2 linked regions of the Caenorhabditis elegans genome follow. The protein of the gene in region 1 purifies or fractionates together with the protein of each later gene. This does not show direct contact. Each region holds a gene or a part of one and is shown on either strand. Other genes may lie near its edges.

Evidence for each region.
Region 2: the proteins of dyn-1 (region 1) and tbb-1 purify together in Caenorhabditis elegans (affinity purification with mass spectrometry, with the first as the bait; one study listed by BioGRID). This does not show direct contact.

What each region holds. Positions count from the first base shown.
Region 1 is NC_003284.9:15,567,159-15,573,496, forward strand, and holds dyn-1 (Dynamin), read left to right. Parts: upstream 1-1,762; coding exon 1,763-1,929; intron 1,930-1,994; coding exon 1,995-2,218; intron 2,219-2,399; coding exon 2,400-3,006; intron 3,007-3,051; coding exon 3,052-3,555; intron 3,556-3,602; coding exon 3,603-3,878; intron 3,879-4,412; coding exon 4,413-4,692; intron 4,693-4,796; coding exon 4,797-5,182; intron 5,183-5,355; coding exon of another isoform or gene 5,356-5,404; exon of another isoform or gene 5,405-5,437; intron 5,438-5,718; coding exon 5,719-5,791; downstream 5,792-6,338.
Region 2 is NC_003281.10:10,740,321-10,744,343, reverse strand, and holds tbb-1 (Tubulin beta chain), read left to right. Parts: upstream 1-1,911; 5' UTR 1,912-1,918; coding exon 1,919-2,084; intron 2,085-2,129; coding exon 2,130-2,935; intron 2,936-2,985; coding exon 2,986-3,363; 3' UTR 3,364-3,476; downstream 3,477-4,023. Other genes in the region: rib-2 (Exostosin-like-3 homolog), read right to left, coding at 1-81, 571-751, 807-939, 985-1,085, 1,142-1,219, 1,265-1,400, 1,452-1,470; tass-1 (Protein FAM32A), read left to right, coding at 3,578-3,699, 3,738-3,819, 3,864-3,983.

The DNA.
Region 1 (6,338 bases):
TTATAAATTTCAGAGCATATGAAATCATTGTACATCAACTGATTAGTCACAAATTCATTATCAGGAGTAGTATGGGAATGTTAAATTCGTTATTTGTTTACACACCGCTGGTTCTTAGTAAAATTTTCTAATAGGAAGTAACTGGAATTTGTTTGGAAACCTACAAATCTGTTAATTTCGGAATTAATATCCAAGTTTCCAAATTAGCAGAAATAAAATTTTGAAGTAATATCTGGTTGAAATGTTGTGTTTCTGCTATAAAACTTGAAAAGAAACCTTGAATCCTGCTAGAGAATCGCCTTTGGTCAGAAAATCGAACATCAGTTTTTACTGCAAGTGACAATTTTCAGGGAGTATTTGAAGCCGTTATTTTTAATCCCAACTTTTTAAATGAAAATGAGTATATTTTTCATATTTATGATATGCATATATATATGTTCAATCTATCTGTGTTAGAGCTTGATGATTATTTCGAATCGGGCGGGTTTAAAGATCTGCCAAAAAAATTTGCAGTACTACCCTGTCTTGAAAAAAAAAGAAGAAAAACTGTGATACAATTTAACAATCATGAACATACGACAATTCTCTACAAATTATAATATCATAATGAATTCCATATTTTGTTTAAACAAATTGGACTAAATGAATTTCCTCGTCTCTAATAAACAAATAGAACGTGGAAAAACCTTCTTACTAATCATGATTTCTGGTCACAATTGTGACTCGATATTTGCTAAGATGACGATTTTTCTTTTCTTCCTACGGTACTGATCGGACTGTTGTAAAAGTTTCACAATTTTGAAATATTTTATTTTATTTTTATTTTGCATAATTTCCAAAGGTCATCCATCTCATTTCCATTCTCAATAAAAAAAATTTTTAAAGTCTGCCTCTTTTTATTAAAGAAACGATGTTATTTGCTCACTAACTTCCATTCACACGTTTCCAGCGAGATAGCAGGTAAGTTGAGAGACGCAGGTGGTTAGACTACAAACAGAAGGGTGGCCGGCTGCCACCCTCTCCACACCACTATTTCACAACATTTACAATGAATTGATCTACCCGCCAAATTCTGGTTTTCGGCAATCCAAAACTGTTCGCTTTGTTTTCCACTTTTTCATTTTTCATTTCTCCTCCACTACTTATTTGGATTTTCTTTTTCAAATGTGTCCCGTTTAGTTTTTTTTTGCATCTAACAACCTTCTGTTTTTTTCCAATATTTTCATTAAACAAGCCTCCAAATTCTTCATAAAATTCCTCGTGAAAAGAAATTTCTTGTCGTGGTTACTGCTGACGCGTTTTGCGATGAGTGTGTGTTGGCACGCTCTCCGCCGTCGCTGGCCAAGCCTTTTTCTCTCCCCGCCGCAGTACTGACTGCGAGGCTGACTCACTGCGGTCATTTCGTTTGCCTCACCCTCACTTTTAGTCTCTGCATCTCCGAGTCTCTCCGCGCTTTTTTGTACGCCGATCGTTTCTTCTTCTTGTTTTCCAAACATTCAACACCGTTTTGCCGACAATGATTCTGAATATTTGTTGATTTTGTTTTTTCAAATGCGATTTGAGGATTTTTTTTTCTAATTTTATATTCTATATTCTTGAAGGTGATAAATTTCATTCTAAAACATAATTATTAAACCTCCGAAAACCTCATTGCGAAATCGTGCTTTTTCCATTAAATCTTCTCAATGCTCTTCCTCATATCATTAATCGACTAAAAAAATCGATTTTCAGGTAGTTCAGCGTATAACCACCAGGATCAGCCATGTCGTGGCAAAACCAGGGAATGCAGGCGTTGATCCCTGTGATCAATCGTGTCCAGGACGCCTTCTCCCAGCTGGGCACATCTGTCAGCTTCGAACTTCCACAGATCGCCGTCGTCGGAGGACAGTCCGCTGGAAAGTCGTCGGTGCTGGAGAATTTTGTCGGAAAGTGAGTCACAAGAAGAAAAAAAACATAACTTTGCGAAATAAAATCACAATTTTTTTCCTTTCCAGAGACTTCTTGCCACGTGGATCAGGAATCGTAACACGTCGTCCACTTATTTTGCAGCTTATTCAAGATCGCAATGAGTACGCCGAGTTCCTACACAAGAAGGGTCATCGCTTTGTGGATTTTGATGCAGTTCGGAAAGAGATTGAGGATGAGACTGATCGTGTCACTGGACAGAATAAGGGAATCAGTCCACATCCAATCAACTTGCGTGTCTTTTCTCCAAATGGTAAGCATTTAGAAACTCACAGAAACGCAAGTGCGCTGGATGATTTGAGCATCTGAAACCAGACTTATGCAACTTTTTTTAAAATTTAAATTGCATTAAAGATTTCATAAATTTACAGTGAGTTGCACAAAATCACTGGAAAAATTCACACATTTTAATTAATTCATACTTAATTTTTCAGTTCTAAATCTGACACTCATCGATTTGCCCGGTCTCACAAAAGTGCCCGTCGGAGATCAACCAGCAGATATTGAGCAACAGATCCGTGACATGATTCTCACATTCATCAACCGTGAGACTTGCCTCATTCTTGCCGTCACTCCGGCCAACAGCGATCTCGCCACTTCGGATGCGTTGAAACTTGCGAAGGAAGTCGATCCACAGGGTCTTCGCACGATTGGAGTCCTCACCAAACTTGACTTGATGGACGAGGGAACCGATGCTCGCGAGATCCTCGAGAACAAGCTGTTCACACTTCGTCGTGGCTACGTCGGAGTTGTCAATCGTGGGCAGAAGGATATTGTCGGTCGCAAGGATATTAGAGCTGCTTTGGACGCCGAGAGAAAGTTCTTCATCTCACACCCATCCTACCGACATATGGCTGATCGGTTGGGAACAAGCTACCTTCAACACACTCTTAATCAACAGCTCACCAATCATATCCGTGATACACTGCCAACACTTCGTGATAGTCTTCAAAAGAAGATGTTTGCTATGGAAAAGGATGTGGCCGAGTACAAGAACTACCAGCCAAATGATCCAGGCCGCAAGACCAAGGCTCTTTTGCAGTAAGTGATTTCAATGGAGGTGCTTTATTAACAAAATTTTTGCAGAATGGTTACCCAGTTCAATGCTGACATTGAGCGCTCCATTGAAGGTTCCTCTGCAAAGCTGGTTTCAACCAATGAGCTCAGTGGAGGAGCCCGTATCAATCGGCTTTTCCATGAGCGTTTCCCATTTGAGATTGTTAAAATGGAAATTGACGAGAAAGAAATGCGCAAAGAAATCCAGTATGCCATCAGAAACATTCACGGTATCCGCGTCGGTCTCTTCACTCCGGATATGGCGTTTGAGGCAATTGCCAAAAAGCAAATCACCCGTCTGAAGGAGCCATCGTTGAAATGCGTTGATCTGGTGGTCAACGAGTTGGCTAATGTGATCAGACAGTGCGCTGACACTATGGCTAGATATCCACGTCTTCGTGACGAGCTGGAAAGAATCGTCGTCTCGCATATGCGTGAACGTGAGCAAATTGCCAAGCAGCAAATTGGGCTCATTGTTGACTACGAACTCGCTTATATGAACACAAACCATGAGGATTTCATTGGATTCAGCAAGTAGGAGTTTAGACTTTGCTTTTAGATGTTTAATTTTATTTTTTTAGTGCTGAAGCAAAAGCCTCCCAAGGACAATCAGCGAAGAAGAATCTTGGAAACCAGGTGATCAGAAAGGGCTGGCTCTCACTGAGCAACGTATCGTTTGTGCGTGGCTCCAAGGACAATTGGTTTGTGCTCATGTCGGACAGTTTGAGTTGGTACAAAGATGATGAGGAGAAGGAGAAGAAGTACATGCTCCCATTGGATGGTGTCAAGCTGAAGGATATTGAGGGTGGATTTATGTCTCGTAACCACAAGTTTGCTCTGTTCTACCCCGACGGAAAGTGAGTTACTCAAGAATTTTGCGATTTGATTGCCATTTCAACATTCCAAGAGCCCGCACGCTTTTCTTTCCACATTAGAGTTTCATTAGGCAGAAACACAGGAACACTAAATTGAGCATGAGTTTTGAAACGAGACAAAAAACGCACACACACACAAAATCAATTTTTTTTGAATATTTGTTTAAATTAAATTAATTTGCAGGAGGTGAGTGTATAGTTTACTTTCTTCACTTCTTCTTCTTCTTTAATGACTTGTAAGACAGAAAAACCTTTGTGTTGTCGTCCTTGTGATCTGTTTTCATTTTTTTTACCCGAAAAGTTTATCCACCTTGAAACCAACACCTTTCACTTCTGTAGTCAATTTCTTATTTTTCCTGTTTCTCTTTCTCTGCTGTGACAGTTTCAGTTCAGACAAAAAAAAATACAGCATGCAAAATGCTTTTTAGATAAAAGATTCTGAACCAGCATGAAGATGTAAACTCATGTATCCTTGACCTCACGCACTTGCTTCTCCCATAACCCTTTGAATTCCAGGAACATCTACAAGGATTACAAGCAGCTTGAGTTGGGATGCACCAATTTGGACGAAATTGATGCGTGGAAGGCTTCATTCTTGCGTGCTGGTGTCTATCCAGAAAAGCAGAAGGCACAGGAAGATGAGTCCCAACAAGAGATGGAGGATACCTCGATTGATCCACAACTTGAGAGACAGGTGGAGACAATCCGTAATTTGGTTGATTCCTACATGAGAATCATTACCAAGACAATTAAGGACCTGGTTCCAAAGGCGGTGATGCATTTGATTGTTAACCAGGTGAGGGATTTTAAAAGAATTGAATGATTCATCGTGATATCATCACGGCCTGTTTTTTTAACCGTACACAATAAACCTTAAACTAAATATCTCAATAATTTCAGACAGGTGAGTTCATGAAAGATGAACTTTTGGCCCATCTCTACCAATGCGGCGACACTGATGCTCTCATGGAGGAATCTCAAATAGAAGCCCAGAAGCGCGAGGAGATGCTCCGAATGTACCATGCTTGCAAGGAGGCGCTCCGCATTATCTCTGAAGTCAACATGAGCACCCTTGGCGACCAGCCGCCGCCATTGCCGATGTCTGACTACCGCCCACACCCATCTGGACCTTCACCGGTGCCGCGTCCGGCTCCTGCTCCACCAGGCGGACGTCAGGCCCCAATGCCACCACGCGGAGGACCCGGTGCCCCACCACCACCAGGCATGAGACCACCACCAGGTGCGCCAGGAGGCGGCGGTGGCATGTACCCACCGTTGATTCCAACGTAAGTTTATGCCTATTTTTTTTCGAAAAGAGCACCAGATCTCTTCTAATCTTTCCTATTTTGGTCCGTCATACTCTTTCTTCTGTCAAAATTTTTTTTCTGAAATTTAGAAAAAAAAATACTGTCAACAAGTCAGAATAAAACCTAAAACTAACGTGTACCAACCACTCTAGGCGTCCGGGACCAGGCGGCCCACCACCCAACATGGCACCGCCTAGATAATAATGTTGTGAATAATTCCCCCACTGACCAAAGGTTTGTTAATCGCGAAGAAGCAGTACAGAGAAGTGTATAATTGTTTGTTGTAATCGTGATGTGTATTAGCAGCATCTATCTAGTGTTGTGATCCCTTGGCACTTTATCGGAACATTTTTATATTCCACTATCTTCCTGTGATTTTTTCTACAGAAAGAAGCAAAAGCTAACTTTTCTTTCTCATCAAATTTTTCATAATTTCGTCATTATTTGCATGTTTCAATGGTGGTCTAGCTTTCTGTTGTTGTAGTATTAATCTGAAACGTTGTTTTTTTTTTCAGAAGAGTACCGACACCATCCAACGGAGCACCAGAGATTCCAGCTCGCCCGCAAGTCCCCAAGAGACCTTTCTAAATGCTTTTACATCTCCATCCTAGCTCACTTGTCATACTATTACCGTTCCCATAGTAATTGTACAATGCCCCCGTTTTATCAAGCATTTCTTTTTTTTTTTTGAGAATTTTTAAATTAATCAATATCCCGAGTTCTTCCACCTTTTGAGCAAGTCTCGTTGAGGATTGCATTGGTCCCAGCGCTAACTAGGCGTCAATTCATCCACCTCTCCATTCTCTCTCCCGTTCCAACTGTGTTTTTCTTTGTCAGCGGCGAATTTTCCACAACCAATCGAGTCCTATTTCTCTTTTTTTCCCCCACCTCCCAATAATTTTATTTGCATGTTTTATAAACTCACTTTGTTCAATAATTTATTGATTTTATTTTTTCTATGATTTGAAACTTTACATTTTTCCTACTCTTCTATAGCAATACTTTGTCACTTACAATAACCCCCCCCCCCCAGTCTGCCTATATTTATTTAGATGTTCTTTATGGCCACCCAATGTATAAACTCTTTTAGTGCATTTGTAGGTTCTTTCTTCATCCCACCCAATTCCCCCTCCAC
Region 2 (4,023 bases), on another chromosome or scaffold:
ATTGATAATCGGGCTTCCAACATTGAATAGTATAGAATTGAAGGTCGTATTTGGTGAGGCTATGCCGTTTGAGATGTGGATCTGAAAAAAAAAACGATTTGTTTTGGCAAAAATTTCAGAAAACGGTCGAAAAACTTATAGGATTTTTTCAAATGTGCAAAAAAAATTATTATTGGAACAAAATCCATGAAATTTGCTGGAATAATGACAGAAAACAGTCTCCGAATAAAACTATATTTGCTTTTCGATTTTCAAGGCCAACTTTGATGTTTCATCGAATTTCTCTCTCGTTATCAAGTTTTTTAACAAAAAAGTCTGAAAATGTGACAACTTATATTTAAAAAATTATCAAAAAAAATTGCAAAATTGAAAAATAATTTTTTACATTGTATATTCGTTATATTTAGATTGTTTTCTATCTTTTTAGGTTGAAAAAACCCAGATATTTCCTGAAATCGGACAATTTTAACGTATTTTGTTCCAAAAATGGAGTAATTTCTCTAGGCTGGCAGATTCAATTTGGCCTTGAAAAGCCTATTTTTAAAAGGATTATTTTTTTCAAAAAATCACCTTTATACACGCCTTATCCGGTGTTTCTACTAAATTAGGTATCACTTCTTGAAACACGTTCAGCCATTCCTTCTCCGATTGCCCTGAAGTGATAATATCTACATAAACTGGCATAAATGAGGATATGGAGCATCGACTGTAATCAATGATGTCATCGAGCTGATTCGGAGAAATTTGAGATCTGAAAATTAAAATCTTGATGAAAACCTAATCTAAATTTAAAGAAAAAAGCTTACGGTTGCTCCAATTCCCGTGGAATTTGAAGCGGTGAAAATGGCAGAAATACTTTGACATTTTGCGTTTCTCGGAGCTCTTCTAACTGTCGCTGTGCAGCTTCAATTTCTCCCTCTAGAGCCGATAGTTCTAGTTCTGAAATTGGAATTTTTAAAATTCAAAATCTAAAAATCCGCATACGTTTCTGAGGAATCAATCTTTGTAGTTCTTCTTGAACAGTCCGAATTTCTTCAATTTTTACTTGAGATTCCGTCAATTCCAAACGAACTGAAGCAAGGATTCTGGAAGAAAATTATAAAAAATAGTTTAGCGTTTCTCAAAAAAAGCAACAAGATACCGTTTCTGCTCCCGTAATATTCTTCCAATAGAGTATCCACTGCATGACGCGTCATAATCGTCTAGATTTTCAATGTTTCTAAAAAAAATTTCATCGATAAATGCATTTTTTCGAGATTCTTACTGTTTGAGAGCATCTTGCGTTATCCAGGAAGGCTCGGAGAAGGAGACATTGTAGATAATTATATAAGTGATAACAAAGAAAATGAAGATTAAAAATGCAGAAACACGAAGAGATGGCACAAAACTTCGACTTGAACCTGGAAATTGAGTAAAAAAATTAATTTAAATTTACAGAATTACAGGATTACCATTTAACTTTATAGCCATTGATATTACCGGCTCGAGACTTGAATTTTTATGTTTCTGGGCATTGGATTTATTATTTTATTTGCTGCAACTAGAAAAAATTGAATTTTATGTATTTAAAAATGCTTTAGTAAAAATAAGCAGGCTTAAAAATTTAAACTTTTTGAAAACAAGCAAGTGCGCTCCATGGCACACGCGCGCGTATTGCGACGCGTGGCGCCAAAAAACCCATTCGAAAACCAATTCCGCGGCAAATGAGTCATTCTCGTCCCAAAATTTAGGCGAACACTGGTCATTTTGTCGGTTTCGCATCGTTATCATGCCGTTTTTATCACTTCACTGTTTTTGATGATTTTCGGAAATGTTTTACGTCGGGTGCAATCGATTTATTTCTTGCGTGTGCCCTCGTCCTATTTCATCATTCCTTTCCGTCGCACACCCATTATTTCCTTCATTTTTCAGAAACAACATGAGAGAAATCGTCCACGTTCAAGCCGGACAGTGCGGAAACCAGATCGGGTCCAAGTTCTGGGAAGTCATCTCCGATGAGCACGGAATCCAGCCCGACGGAACCTTCAAGGGAGAAAGCGATCTCCAGCTGGAGAGAATCGATGTCTACTACAACGAGGCCAACAGTATGTTTATCTAAGATAAAGCAGTTCTTATTTCGATCTTTTCAGATGGCAAATACGTTCCACGTGCAGTCCTCGTTGATCTCGAGCCAGGAACGATGGATTCTGTGCGGTCCGGTCCTTTCGGACAACTCTTCAGACCAGACAACTTTGTTTTCGGACAATCTGGAGCTGGAAACAATTGGGCCAAGGGACATTACACCGAGGGAGCAGAACTTGTTGACAACGTGCTCGATGTGATCCGCAAAGAGGCTGAAGGATGCGATTGTCTTCAAGGATTCCAGCTCACACACTCTCTTGGAGGTGGAACCGGATCCGGAATGGGAACCCTTCTCATCTCCAAGATTCGCGAGGAATTCCCAGATCGAATTATGTCTTCCTTCTCGGTTGTTCCATCACCAAAGGTTTCGGATACCGTCGTCGAGCCGTACAATGCCACCCTCTCTGTCCACCAGCTTGTTGAGAACACCGACGAGACTTACTGTATCGATAACGAGGCTCTCTACGATATCTGCTACAGAACTCTAAAGCTCACCAACCCAACATACGGAGACCTGAACCATCTCGTGTCTCTCACAATGTCTGGAGTGACTACCTGCCTCCGCTTCCCTGGACAGCTGAACGCTGATCTTCGCAAGTTGGCTGTCAACATGGTTCCATTCCCACGTCTTCATTTCTTCATGCCTGGATTCGCTCCACTCTCCGCCAAGGGAGCTCAGGCTTACCGTGCATTGACTGTCGCCGAGCTTACTCAACAAATGTTCGACGCCAAGAACATGATGGCTGCTTGCGATCCAAGACACGGAAGATACCTCACCGTTGCTGCTATGTTCCGTGGACGCATGTCCATGAGAGTAAGTTCATCGATTGCTTGTAACTTTTCACTATATGCTTTGTTTTTCAGGAGGTTGACGAGCAGATGCTCAGTGTCCAGAACAAGAACTCCTCGTACTTCGTTGAATGGATTCCAAACAACGTCAAGACTGCTGTGTGCGACATCCCACCACGTGGACTCAAGATGGCTGCCACCTTCGTCGGAAACTCCACTGCTATCCAGGAGCTCTTCAAGCGTATCTCGGAGCAATTCACCGCCATGTTCCGCAGAAAGGCCTTCCTTCATTGGTACACTGGTGAGGGTATGGACGAGATGGAGTTCACCGAGGCTGAAAGCAACATGAACGACTTGATCTCGGAGTACCAACAATACCAGGAAGCTACCGCCGAAGACGAGCCACTCGACGAGTTCGCCGGAGAAGGGGAGACATACGAGTCTGAGCAATAATCTGTGTATCAATCACTAAATTATCCTGCCCCGTTTCGTAATTTCCTGTACAATGATCTTTTCTTTCGCCCACTCCCAATATTTTTATGACTCGAATGAACGATGATTAATTTAAACTTTTTTCCAGTGTTCTCATTATGTTTCAATCATTAAAATATCTTGCAAAAGCTCGATAGAAGGTAGACACTGGTTCACAATTTTCATATTCAGAACAATGAAAGACACAGTCGTCAAAGGATCTCTCAAGTTGAAAAAAGTATCGACAGAAGCGCCAAAGAAGACTAAAAAGAGTAAGCCAGCTATGGACTTGAAGCAAGTTGACATGACGATCAGAAGGTATGTGTAATCCGAAACCAGACAGCTAACGGTCCCAGAGATTCCAGAAACACTTCCGGCGGTGGGCCACACAAAACCGAGGCTGAGCTTCGGTTCGAGGCTAGAAGACAGGCGAACATGGTAGGCGCTTTTTTTTTTAATACTTAAAATTCACATAATTTCAGGCGGAAAGAATGCTGAAACAGGCGGCGTTGAGTCATCGTGAAAAGGTGGAGAAGTTGAACAAGCAGCTCGGCGAGATGACAGAATTCAACGACATTCCAAAAGTTTCCTGGACGAAATAATAATAATAATCTCTCTCTCTCTCTCTCTCTCTCTCTCTCT